Linked DNA regions of Nothobranchius furzeri. The protein of the gene in region 1 interacts with the protein of each later gene in a pairwise test. Links are inferred from orthologs where the notes say so. Each region holds a gene or a part of one and is shown in the gene's direction. Other genes may lie near its edges.

Region 1 (6,525 bases):
GCCTGGGTGTTGTCTAGCAACGGTAAAGGGTCACCTTCCCGGTGTGTGTTCTTATCCTCCAGGGGGACCTCCAGAACCACTCTTTCAACCGTGACTTTATCACGATTACGTTATCTTCCGACATGTTTTCACAAGCAGTGTATGTGATAAAATCCGTTTGAGTCAGATTTTGCCTGGGTGTTTAGCAACGGTAAAGGGTCACCTTCCCGGTGTGTGTTCTTGATATCCTCCTTGGGGACCTTCAGAACAACTCTTTCAACCGTGACTTTCTCTATCACAATAACGTTATCTTCCGACATGTTTTCACAAGCAGTGTATATGTGATAAAACCCGTTTGAGTCAGATTTTGCCTGGGTGTTGTCTAGCAACGGTAAACGACTCCGAAGTTGCAGTTACGGGATTCGAATACACGAGGGAAGCACGCGCTCAGACGTTCCAATCCAACTTTATTTTCTAAACCACTTCTAAACCAGCACATAAACAAAATAGCCCTGTGTCTAAATAAAAACAAGGGAGGGTCATCAGTATATTCAACAGAAAGTCTGTAAAGTGAGAATCATGTCGGTAATGTTTTATTGTTGCTTTTAAACACAGCAGCTTACTAAATGCAGTGTTTATCAACTACTTTCATATTAGCATATTCTTCTTCTTACAAAAAATAATAACAATAATCATAATGAAGAATGCACAAATATTTTCCGGACACATGAACTTCTTTTTTTTTTAAATGTCAAATGAAAGCAAAATGCTGTTTAATTATGGGTCAAACTTGTTTTTGGTCACAACTAATCAATTTCATTGAGGTTTAATGTTTTTAATGTATTTTCTCTTTAGGTATGTGAAGGAGACGATTTTCTCCAGCTTTTAGGAAATCAGCTGCAAGGGAAAGAGGAAGAATTAGCTGATTCTTTTTCCCTATTAAATCAATTATTTTTGGTGTTAAAATAGTATCTCTCACACACACACACACACACAATGCGTGCATGCATGTGGACACATCGTGACAGCTTGATGTGTGGGAGCGATCTGTGTGCTGATGGTCGACATCTTGCATCACAGCGTGAAACGTTTGGAGCTGATGTCGCCAATCAGAACCATGGATAACACACACACACACAGTGGTTTGTTTTACATCTGCAGTTTCACTACAAACTTCTGCCTCCATGATTCCACAAACCAATAAACCCCCCAAATCCTCAGAAATGTTAAACTTTATGATTTTTGACATTTAGTTTTAACTGCAGCTTCATGTTTCTGTGTTTTCCTCTTCATTCAGTTTTACAGGTCAGCTGGTAAAGAGCGCCCATGCTGGGGAACTGGAGAAATGAGGAAATAAGACATTAAAAGTCATTATCTAGAAATAAAAATGATTTTATTACAATAAAAATCTATAAAATACACATTAAAACAATTTGTTCAGGTCAGTCCTTCCTTGGTTTGGGCTTTGGGGCTGAAACAGACAAAAGAATAATTGATTTTAATTCTCTGAGCAAATGAATTGGAATAAATCAGTTGTCAGAACTGAAACGATTTCTGATGTAAAGGTATTTTTGTCAGAAAGAGTTAAATAACTTTTCAGTAACATCAACATTGGTTTATTAGCTGGTCAGTAATCAAACATTTTACCATTTGGATTTTCTTGCTTATAGAAAGTTTTGAGCATCTCTATGGCTTCTTCTGCTCTGTGGCCTGAAACACACTGAACACACGTGTTTATAAAACAGTGAGCAGCTGGTCAACGTGGCACAAATGAATAAACACCTTAAATGTGGTCCCAGTGTGAGGAAGGTCTGCAGAGGAAATGTCCAGAACTGATCCGCACCCCCCAAAACGCTCGTTTCTGCAACCGTAGGCAACCACGGGGATATCTGGGAGCTGGTTAAGGACAACAAACACACACACACACACACACTCTCAGGTCGGGGGAGGATACTGACGAGGCGCAGGGCTGCGGCACACATGATGCACGGCTCCACTGTGACGTACAGGACAGTCTGCTCACACACGCTCTTTGTGTCCAGGTTGCTATGGCGACACCAGTCCAAGACCTGGTCCAAGGAGACCATCTCAGCGTGACGAGTTGCCTGAAAACCATCAGAAATTTTGAACTGGTCTCATGATGAAGCCAACACAGTTTTAGCTCCTGGAGACCACCAGGATCTTATGTCCTGACTGATCCTGCTGTAAGGCTCTTTAAAGGTTGTTTAGATTTTTCCTACATTTTTAGTCTCGTTGACTTCATTCCTCCCTCTCCCCACCACTTCATCCTTGTAAACCATCAGACATCCTACAGGAACTTCTCCGTTCTCCAGAGCATCTCTGGCCTGCAGAAACACATTCAACATTCAGCTCACCACCACCAGGCGCCTTATACTCCTGAACCAGAAATATCTAACACACGTTTCAGCCAATCAAACAAAACAATTCCTGTTCGTTTTCATTTGGTTGATACCAACTTATGATTACAAAATCATTTATCATAAAAACTTATTTAAAAAAATTAAATGTTTCTTCGCTACATTTGAATGAAGACATTACCATTTCAAAAGCGCTGCACATCCATTTCTCTATTTCCTCATCAGTCGGACAAAACCGCTCCAAAGAATCAGGATTTTCACCCTCCTCTGATCCCATGGCGTCAGGAGTGATGTAAAATATCTTTGAAACTGGAGATATTTAGTTAAATTCAGTTTTTGGAGCGTATTTTCAGCTTTTAGTCACTCATTTGAAGCGCTTAGCACAGTGGGGGAAGATAATATTAAACGGACCACTTTCGGATGCGACCAATCACCTTTCTCACAAATTGTGCGCTAAAACCGGAAGTAGAATGTTCCCACAAATGTCAGGAAGATTTGCCAGGACCAATTATTTTATAGTTCTCATTGATTATAGAACAGCACTTAATTAGTACAACCGTTTCTTTATTTTAATGTGACGTGGATTCGCAATTCTATTATCTAATGATCATTTGCACTTCCGTTGCCCAGAGCGTTTTATTTTGAAGTCCTAAACCGGATGTCTCAGCTACACCCTTGATCAGCAAATTTGTGACAGTTAGCTTGGTAGCTAAGAGCTGCAGTCAGAAACTCTTCCACTAAAATGTTTATTAAAAAGTGAAGCCAAGAGATAAAAGTGCGGAGGGGTTTTGGAGTTCTACTTTCCTGAAGATGTTTTCGTCTGTCTGGAATTTTATAAAACGCCATAAAAAGAAATTCATTTTCACCGGAGCAGTCGTTGGAGGTAAGGGGGTAGTCCCCACACACGCCGGACACCACGAATAAACCCTTTAAAAACTAGTTTTGGTGATAAAATGAACCATGTGTATTTTAAAAGTTATTTAAAGAGCGATTAGGAACATTAAGATGATCTTTTTTTCGGCTTTAGAATACTTTACCGATTCAAATATAAAATGTTTTTGTCATATTTGTCAAAACTAAAAATGCTTACAGATATGTATTTTTTATCTCTGTGCTGCACAACATCACATTTCTCCCTGTCTCTGATGTAAACATGATTCACTGTAGTGAAACTTTATGTGAGGATCATGTGAGCCTTGCGCGGTTCTGGAGGAATTCTGGCCCACTTATGAGTTGTGGGATTTGCACCATTTGCTCCCCAACGTCTCATCACAAGCTTTCGGTGGGGGTGGAGGTCTGGACTTTGATCATTGCCACATGATTCTAGCTGCGTTTGGGATCCGTGTCCAGATTTATTACCCAGTCTGGTTTTCATGGTCTCATTTTTGCTGGGAGCCCAAACCATCACCCCTCCACCACCTTGTCCACAGCTAGCGGGAGCGGTTTGGGTTTCTCCTAACGTTCTGCTGTGCCATCCATCCATCCATCCATTTTCATCTGCTTATCCGGGAGTCAGGTCGCGGGGGCAGTAGCCTAAGGCTAGAGGCCCAGACTTCCCTCTCCCCAGCCACTTGGGCCAGCTCCTCTGGGGGAATCCCAAGGCGTTCCCTGGCCAGGTGAGAGACATAGTCCCTCCACCGTGTCCTGGGTCTACCTTTAGGCCTCCTCCCGGTTGGACGTGCCCGGAAAACCTCACCAGGGAGGCGTCCAGGAGGCATCCTGTCCAGATGCCCGAGCCACCTCAACTGGCTCCTCTCGATGTGGAGGAGCAGCGGGTCTACTCCGAGCCCCTCCCGAATGACTGAGCTTCTCACCCTATCTCTAAGGGAGAGCCCAGCCGCTCTTCGGATAAAACTCATTTCGGCCGCTTGTATCCGTGATCTCGTTCTTTCTGTCACTACCCAAAGCTCATGACCATAGGTGAAGGTAGGAACGTAGATCGACCGGTAAATAGAGAGCTTCGCCTTCCGACTCAACTCTCTCTTCACCACGACAGACTGGTGCAATGGCCGCATCACTGCAGATGCAGCACCAATCCGCCTATTCACGCTCCAGTTTTCCCTCACTTGTGAACAAGACCCCGAGATACTCAAACTCCTCCACTTGGGGCAGGACCTCATCCCTGACCTGGAGAGGGCATTCTACCATTTTCTCATGGTCTCAGATTTAGAGGAGCTGATTCTCATCCCAGCTGCGTCACACTCAGCTGCAAACCGCTCCAGCGAAAACTGAAGATCACGTTCTGATGAAGCCAACAGGACCACATCATCTGCAAAAAGCAGAGACCTGATCCTCAGGCCACCATAATGGATATCCTCAACACCTTGGCTGCGCCCATAAATCCTGTCCATGAAGGTTATGAACAGAATCGGTGACAAAGGGCAGCCTTGGCAGAGTCCAACTCTCCCTGGGAACGAGCCCGACTTACTGCCGGCAATGCTGACCAAGCTCTGACACCGGTCATACAGCCCATATCAGAGGGCTCTGCTGTGCATTATGGGTAAACACCACTTTGGTCCAAAGGCTATTGCTCTAGAAGTCTTGTTCAGGATTTCTCCTGCAGCCTTTCTAAGCCGGCCACACTTGTTCAGTGTTTCCTGACCTGCAGCATTAACACACACCTGTATGCTCCGGAGCAGCTGAGCTCTTCTCTGCTGCAGTTCTCTGAACTCCTATGGAACCAGGTTCGGGTTTGGTTCCTGTTAAAATCTGTTTAGTATTTTTCTTTCAAAGCTGAATAATAACAGATGGCTTCTTTTGCTATTTAGTTTAAAAAATATCAGAATATAACGGATCCCCCCACGGTGCTGCAGCTGGCCCTCCATGTTTTTGTGTTCACCTCCTATTTGGTTCCTTCTCAGGAGTTTACATTTTTGGAAGATATGCCCAAAAGAAGATCAGAGACATCCAAGAGAAGGAGGCGACGGAGTACATCGCCCAGGCCAGACGGCAGTTCCACTTCGAGAGCAACCAGCGAACCTGCAACATGACCGGTAGGGTTAGGGTAAGGGCTAGGGTCGGCCTGAGCTGAGGAGCGAGGCTCACCGTTTCTGTGTTTCAGTTCTGTCGATGCTCCCGCCGCTCAGAGAGGCCGTCGTCGCTCAGCTGAACTCCGAGACGCTCACCGCGCTGCTGAAGACCAAGTCAGACGACACATTAGCGTTCCCATCATCAGACTTTATTCTGTTATCTAACACAAAATACACATTTGCTTGTTTTAGGTGTTTAAATAAAGATGTTTAAATCTTTTTCCTCCAGACCAGCTAATAAACTGGAGATCTGGGAAGATTTAAAAATCATCAGTAAGTTTTAAACTCGGCAGAACATTTGATTAAAGTATTTTTTTTCTGGCCTCCTGAGACTCAGGATCTGTTGTTTGTGGTCTTCAGGCTTCACCCGCACCATCGTGGCCGTCTACAGCACTTGCATGCTGGTGGTTCTCCTTCGAGTGCAGCTCAACATCATCGGAGGTTACCTGTACCTGGATAACTCTGTAGGGAAGAGCATAACGGTGAGGATGGAGCTGCACCACGCGCTGCAGGTGTGGAAGCTCGGCAGGGAAATGGAAAGAAACGAGGATCTGATGTTTGCTTTTTATTACCCAGAATCCTCTGGCTCCTGCAGACGTCCAGCAGCAGTACTTGTCCAGCATCCAGCATCTCCTCGGAGACGGTAGGGGACAGATCTCCTCCTGCAGATTGACTTCAGACCCTAGCGTGTGTGTGGGTTGTGTAACGTCTCCGCGCGTCTCCCCAGGGTTAAACGAGTTAATAACAGTGGTGAAGAGGGCCGTGCAGCGCTCGCTGGGAAGGTGAGTTTTAGGTTTCTGTCTGCAAAACGTCCGAAAGTCACACATTTTTATTTGTGTGATCGCATGATTGTGGTGTACGGAGAGCCAAAAGTGCCACAATACAATAAAAAATAAAGAATTCAGTATTTATTTAACATGTCTTAAACTTAAAAAGTCTTATTTATTGAATCATAAAACAAAACCTTAAAGTTTTTAAAATATGTTTTTATATTTTAGTCTCATTCGTGTCAGATTTGAGTTATTTGTTGATTTTGGCCCTTCTGGCCCTCCGTAGTAGAACAGCAGTTGACGAGTCTCCCGTTGGTGTCCAGCGTGTCTCTGAAGCAGAGTTTGTCCCTGCTGGAGCTGGAGCAGCAG
Region 2 (6,563 bases), on another chromosome or scaffold:
TTAAGTACGGTTTTAGTAAGGATTCTACACAATGTTTGAGAAATGAGACCCCAGAGCTGTACAAGAGCTCAGGATCAGCCCTCAGTACCAGGATTAGGACCATTTTTAATCCAGACCTCTCCAGAGAAACACACTTTAAAAGATCTGAGATCATAAAGTGTATCAGACAAACCAAGTGGTTTCTCCTCTGAAGATGTTCACAAACACAAACTGAAACAGAGAAAAAGCAGCAAAAGTCCAAAGAAAAACTTTGTCTCTGAGTCACTTTAAAAAAAGACAGGAAAGTCCGACTGCTGGGAAGGAACACAGAACTGGGCTGCTTTACCAGTTAGCAATATTTATACTGGTTTGTAAAAATCACCATCCAATCACTGATTTCTTACATTTTGTCATTTACTTCTGCAGGTTTAATCAGTCTGCTCTGGGCTGCAGAGAAGAGACACAAAAACATCCAGAAATGTTTGCTGCAGCTTTTCTGAGATCTGAAGCTACGCGTTGCAGCTAAAACCAACACAGGAGTGCAGTTTGTTTAGTGTTCTGTTATGTTGTTTAAGCAGTGATGAACGGATCCTTCCAGGAGTTCAGCCACAGGCGCCTCACACACAAACTGCTGCAAGAATAAATAGCAAAAATGCCTGCTGATGAGCTTCAGAAGGCCTTCAGTCTTCTGTTCATGCCGGAAACCGTCTACTCACTGCTGCTCTCTGTGGTGTCGTCCTGCTGCAGGGCAGCTATGTGTCTGTACCAGCGCAGAGCGTGAAGGTGCTGCGGATCGGGGGGCCGGGGGAGGAGCTTAAAGACTTTCAGGTCGGCCTGGGAGGGACCAAACCCAGCCAGGTAGCTGCGTGAGGAGAGGTAGTCGTTCAGGGCTGCTGTCAGTGCAGCCTCCTCATTTATCTGCAGCAAGAAGCCAAACTCAAAGGCTGCAGAAACAAGAGGGCAAACGTTCGCAAATCGTTACCGACCAAGCAGCAACATGCTGTTGATAATAACTAACACAACCCAACTAAAAACCTGGAATCGATAAGTTTATATAGAGCAAAGATCCTGGTTCAAGCTTTCGAAACGCTGGAGAGCTAGAGAAGAAAAGTTCTCCAACCTTGCTGAAGGTTTTTTTATATACTTCAGTTTGGAATCCGGCTGCTTTTTCATTCAGTTTGGTTCCTTTGAGGTACTCAGAAGGTAGTTAATGGACTGATCGGACTGACAGCAGCAAGAAGAAGACTTCTGGGTGAAACCTGCAGAATAAACGCGACTGTCCTGACGAATCTAACCAATACAAGCTTCAAACCAGCCTCTAATTTAACCTGGAAGGAGAAACTAAACAAAATTAATCACTAGAACAGGTAAAATGATGTGACACTAAATGACCAGCAAAAAAGCTCTGATAAAATAAAGATCACACAACTATGCACAAATAACTATGCACAATAAGGAAAATGATGCTGCAAACACAACCATCCAGGACCACTACTCAGAATGAAACTGAAACAAACTGATGGCATTTTCTGCCACACCTGAGATGAGTCAAACAGAAACTAACAACTAAAGAAGAAAATGAAAGAAAAACATGGAAAACAAAACCTAAAAGGAAAATAAAAGATAATCTAACACAAAGAGACAAAAAGGATGAAATTGTTATTCTGATTTATCAGGATGCAATAAGGATGCAGGCTAAAAGACATTCTTTTATAATTGAAAATAAAATAAAACAAACTATTTAGTCATCTGTATGGCTGTGTATATTTTTTTTTCGTTTTTTTACTCTTCTTCCACCGTAATATAATATATACATGTAATACCGTAATATAAACATGGTCATCAATAAATAAGCGCATCACATATTTGCTTCATTTTTTTGTTAAACTAAATATGCCGATATTAAAACTGTCCTCACATGTTAAAAGGTCGTATAACTCCCGAGTCATCTGTGCTTTGAAGATTAAACCCCATAAGCTTGAATCTAGAATCGTCTAATAGTTGAAGGGACTTTGGTTTGTCATCAGAACTGCCTTTAGCTGCTCGCTAACAGATGTAGCTGGCGCTAATTTCTTGTGACAGTTCAACATATAACGGAAACGCCATTGCTACTTGTTAGGTTGTTAACTAAATATATAATAAAATAAAAACCACACAATAAAAACAAAATGTTTACCTGTCTCTCCTGAGCTCGACATGACCACTGTGTTAAATGAGAGGATGCTGATGCAACAATAACGTGCCCGCCCGGACCGGAACTAGCACGCGTACCTTTGCTTTTGATTTTAAAGGGCAGCGTTCGTCTGTTGTGTATGTGTGCTTTACGGTCACCACAAAAATGTAGGTGGAAAAGCTGAAATTATTCTTCAAATATTTTTGAAAGTTTGATAAATCAAAATTAAGTTTTTTGATGAAAATATTAGAACTTTATTTAACTAATATAAACTCGAGAACGGATGTAGTTGAGTATTAAATCCAACAAGGGGCAGTAAACCTTTTCAGAACGGAAAGAGTCGTGAATTCCTAAAAAAGAAGAAGTAGAGGAAGCGGAAGTTTGTTTACTTTTCAAAAACAAGTCGAGCTGAGCTCATTAACTGGTTGTGGATAATTTATGAACGTTGGTAACTAAATGAGGACTTAATGCTTCAGCTAGAGCTGACATGTCTCATTTTAAGGAGTACATAGACGCTGCGAGTCGTCTATATGAGCGCTACACGGACTATGTGAGGAGGAATCCAGCTGCCACTGCACATCTGGAGAGCACCGTGAGGACAGTCTCCTACCTGATCGCAGGTAAGTCTGCTCATAAAAAAGATTAAGATGTGTCCAGTTTCGATCGGAAAGCTCCAGTCTAGTCCTCGTTTGTTTGTATTTTCCTTCCAAGCAGACATAACTGGACTTCTCCTTAGGTTTGATGTTCTAATGAATCTGCGCGTCGCCATTGCTTCTTGTTAGGTTGTTAAGTAAATAATACAATAAAAACCACACAATAAAAACAAAATGTTTACCTGTCTCTCCTGAATATAAAAAACAAATAAATTAGTGGCTCAGCGTATTGTTGATGTAACCTTGAACTGTGACCCTACCCAGAGCTGAGTTTCATTTTCCTTTCAGAAACAGCAGGTTTAGTCCTGCACGCAGCTGCTTCAATGTTTACACCTTTCTGTATTCCAGGGCGGTTTGCAGATTCTCATGAGATTTCTGAACTTGGTGAGTAAAACGATTCAGTCATTCTTCCTGCTTTTTATCATTTGTCTCATCAGCAAACTGTTGCTTCAGGTGGTAAATCCCTTTTTTTAAAGGCCCAAACTTTAAAAATGTCTGAAAATTCCAAATTGTGAAAAACATTTGTTGTGATTTTTTTTCTTTTCATCTGAACAAAAAAAAAGCAAAGTCATTGTTTATTCTGGATTGAAGTATCAGTGTAGCTGTGAGCCATAAAAGGCTCTGGTACCAGACATAAAGCATCAGACTACCTGGTTCTGACTGGTTCTGATGAATAAATGTGAGTCTGTTACCAGGATCTGGGTCACGCTTCTGCTGTCATATTTGCTGGATTTGGTCACGTTTAATGAACGGAGCTCACAAGTCTGCTTTTAAGCTTTTGAATAAAAGTCTGGGAGGGTTTGTGTTCCCAGTTACCAGGTAAAATATCACCCGGCTAAAGGACTTTTAAATCTAGTCTCATCAAGGAAATAAAAGTAATCAGCTAAGCTTCAGAAGCTGCAGCAAAAACCAAGAAAATCACAAAGAACAAACTATTCTGATGTCCCAGGTGAGGGGGTGACCATTACATTTCACAGCTTTGTCCTGGGATGGTTGTGATCGTGTCTCTAATTTTTGTCCTGGTTTTGTCATTTTCAGTGTATTCTGCCTCCAACCTGCTGGTGCTGTTTAATGACAGCATCCTGCGCCGAGGACTGAGATGTTCCCTCACCAAGGTTAGCCTAGAAACACGTCCAGTTGTGGAATAAATCCTGATCTTACCAGAGTTTAGGACGATTTAAAGCCCCCTCCAACCATGTGTGTCTCTAGTCCCTGTCTCAGCAGAGACTACTAAACTGGCTGTCGGTGCTCGAGTACGTGCAGGTTTTCCTGGAAATGGGAGCCTTCAAGCTGTGGGGGGAAGTCGGCCGTTGGCTGGTGATTGGACTCATTCAGATTTTTAAGTATGCCCCCCCTTTTCTGTCACAGTAAAGAACATTTTTGACTTCATTTCAGGCTCATGAGGACGGTTTGTTCTGATCAGGAGAAACATGAATGTTTGTCCTCTCTGGAAACATCTTGAGTTTTAGCCTTTTTGCTGAATCAGCTGATGGGTTTCTCCATTTAGTATGTCGGGATGCTTTAAGCCCCAACCCTGCTGTAAAAGTCTTTTAAGGACTGATAAAACATTCCAGTAGCTGCTAAATCTCTCCGTTTCCTTTTTTCTCAGGACAGTTTTCCGCCTCGTTCTTCTTCTGGTGTATAAATCTGGCCTCGGGACTTCACCTCCCATAATCCCTCTGGACAGGAGTGCAGAATGTGTTGGTGAAGGTTATATCAGCCTTTTTTTTAATAATAAAGGACCTGTCTGTATCCGTTGAGTCTTAACAATGACGGATGTATGAATAAGTGTTTTCTGCACAGCTGAAAGTAACAGTGAGCAGCAGGAGGACTCTTGCTTCGTGGGTCAAAGGTCAGGGCGAGTCATCAGGCCACTTGGCAGCGGTGAGAAATCAGATTTTAAGTTTAATCATCCTAGAAGGTTTAAGCTGGTCGGCTATTATCCAGAACAAAAGGATTTTTAAGTCACAAAAGGAAGTTCTACTTATTTCGTGTTTATTTTTTATTTTATTTTATTAAAATAAACAAAAACAAATTTTTGCTGTTAAAGTGTCCTGTAAACCTCCCGATCTGGTCCGGAAGTCCCGATCCTCCTCAGATCTTCATATTTTCTTCATGGATGTAAAATCTAAAGAAACTGAGCTTTCCCACAGATCTGAAGTTTGGCAGAAAGTGGGAAGAACCGTCAGATTAACCTCCTTCTGTCTCCATTCACTGGGTCAGCACCGTCTCTCCAGAACCGTCTGTGGGGAGCTCCGGTCCAGAGGAACAGGAGGAGCAGTTTGGCAGAGAACAGTACACCAACAGAACTGGGCCTCCAGGAGACTGTGGCCGAGTCCGTGTACATCAGCCGGCCTCTCGTTCACCGTATCCTTCCAGATGTTGATCCTGCTCCAGAACGTTCTCCCGGATGGGAATGTTTCCTCCTGACGTGTTACTCAGAATTTAAATGGCTCCAGCCAGAAGGGGGCGCCGTGGTCCGGCTTTCTTCAAGTGTTTCACAGACAGTAACAGGCTTTTAATCAGGTTTTTTTTTACCTGTAGATGCTGAATCAGCATTTTACTGTCTGTTTTGTAGATTTAATCTCCTTTTATTCTGATTTCAAACACATTTTCTCAGAACATCACAACCAGTTAGGGTGAAATTCTTTAAATGACGATTCCATTTTGTCTTTTATAAAACTAAATATTTTAAATTAAAAACACAAAAATTAAAGTTTAGTAGACATTTAACACCGGTTTTCCTTAAATTGGGTCTTCCTGACTGCAGTCCTTTGTCTGGGACTCTGTGGGAAACAGTCCTGGAAGCCGTGGCTCGTCTCTGGATTCCTGGAACTGTCCAGGTGAGCTAACCCCGTTTACTGGATTCAGAATTAAACAAAAACCTGATTTACTAAATAAATATGTCTGTTGTGACATTTGAGAAACGTTAGTTTAGAAAAGTCTGTTTTAGATTTTAAAACAACTTAATCAGGATATTTCAGCTCCCATGTGCCACGAGATTCCAGTCAGGATGTTAACCCAGTTTTGTGGGAATCACCTGTTTACTTTAAAATACATGGAAATGTTTTTTTTTAATTTTATATCCGACCCGTTCCTTCCAGCTTCGCCGTTCTCAGTGACGCCAGATTCCAAACCCGGTGGGAGCAGGCTGAGATGAGGAGGCGGGGCTTCCTGCTGCTGTATTACCTGCTGCGTTCACCTTTCTATGATAAATACTCTGAGTAAGTATCACTGACCTCGGGGTTCTGACCCAAAGCAGGTAGAACAGGTTCTCGGCATCTCTGGACTTAACCAGGTGCTCCGGATCCATTTTCAGGCGAAACGGCTGGAGCTCATTTGTAGGAAGTTTCAGGCTTTCATCGAGAATTCCCTCTTTAGGGTACGAACTTCCTGTTTCGGACCATCGGTTACCATAGCAACAACTGAAGGATAGAACTTGTCACCGAGCCTCTGATTGTAGGACTGGCCTGGTTGATCCGAGCATCTTTGGGCTCACTGAAACTCAGAACCACGAGTTTGTCAGTTTGGATCCAGGAATCATGAAGAAGTAAAAAAAAAAAAAAAAATCCAAACTGTTGTTTCAAAGTCTGACATTGTTTCATCAAATAAACAAACTTTAGACTGATCTGAATTCCTCTGGTCAGGTTTTCATCTCCAGAACTCTGAAAGTTCTGGATCTTTAACCTAAAGTGTAAAAGTTCTGGTTCTGCTGGTGAACTGGACTCAAGTTTATTCTGAATAAACGTTGATAACAA

What was found. The genes of interacting proteins can lie anywhere in the genome.
Region 2: the proteins of pex3 (region 1) and pex16 interact in binary tests that used the Homo sapiens proteins (3 or more experiments, as listed by UniProt). The link is inferred for Nothobranchius furzeri from reciprocal best matches to the Homo sapiens genes PEX3 and PEX16.

The regions. Positions count from the first base shown.
Region 1 is NC_091742.1:15,093,700-15,100,224, reverse strand, and holds the start of pex3 (peroxisomal biogenesis factor 3), read left to right. Parts: upstream 1-3,027; 5' UTR 3,028-3,167; coding exon 3,168-3,240; intron 3,241-5,218; coding exon 5,219-5,350; intron 5,351-5,418; coding exon 5,419-5,500; intron 5,501-5,615; coding exon 5,616-5,659; intron 5,660-5,746; coding exon 5,747-5,868; intron 5,869-5,962; coding exon 5,963-6,029; intron 6,030-6,113; coding exon 6,114-6,168; intron 6,169-6,479; coding exon 6,480-6,525. Other genes in the region: adat2 (tRNA-specific adenosine deaminase 2), read right to left, coding at 1,422-1,450, 1,627-1,699, 1,762-1,868, 1,934-2,084, 2,220-2,324, 2,539-2,634. UniProt on the Homo sapiens protein: Involved in peroxisome biosynthesis and integrity. Assembles membrane vesicles before the matrix proteins are translocated. As a docking factor for PEX19, is necessary for the import of peroxisomal membrane proteins in the peroxisomes.
Region 2 is NC_091749.1:65,431,797-65,438,359, reverse strand, and holds the start of pex16 (peroxisomal biogenesis factor 16), read left to right. Parts: upstream 1-2,330; 5' UTR 2,331-2,639; coding exon 2,640-2,772; intron 2,773-3,093; coding exon 3,094-3,189; intron 3,190-3,843; coding exon 3,844-3,920; intron 3,921-4,014; coding exon 4,015-4,148; intron 4,149-4,414; coding exon 4,415-4,515; intron 4,516-4,608; coding exon 4,609-4,689; intron 4,690-5,028; coding exon 5,029-5,172; intron 5,173-5,575; coding exon 5,576-5,648; intron 5,649-5,909; coding exon 5,910-6,029; intron 6,030-6,563. Other genes in the region: cars1 (cysteine--tRNA ligase, cytoplasmic), read right to left, coding at 696-923, 2,156-2,177. UniProt on the Homo sapiens protein: Required for peroxisome membrane biogenesis. May play a role in early stages of peroxisome assembly. Can recruit other peroxisomal proteins, such as PEX3 and PMP34, to de novo peroxisomes derived from the endoplasmic reticulum (ER).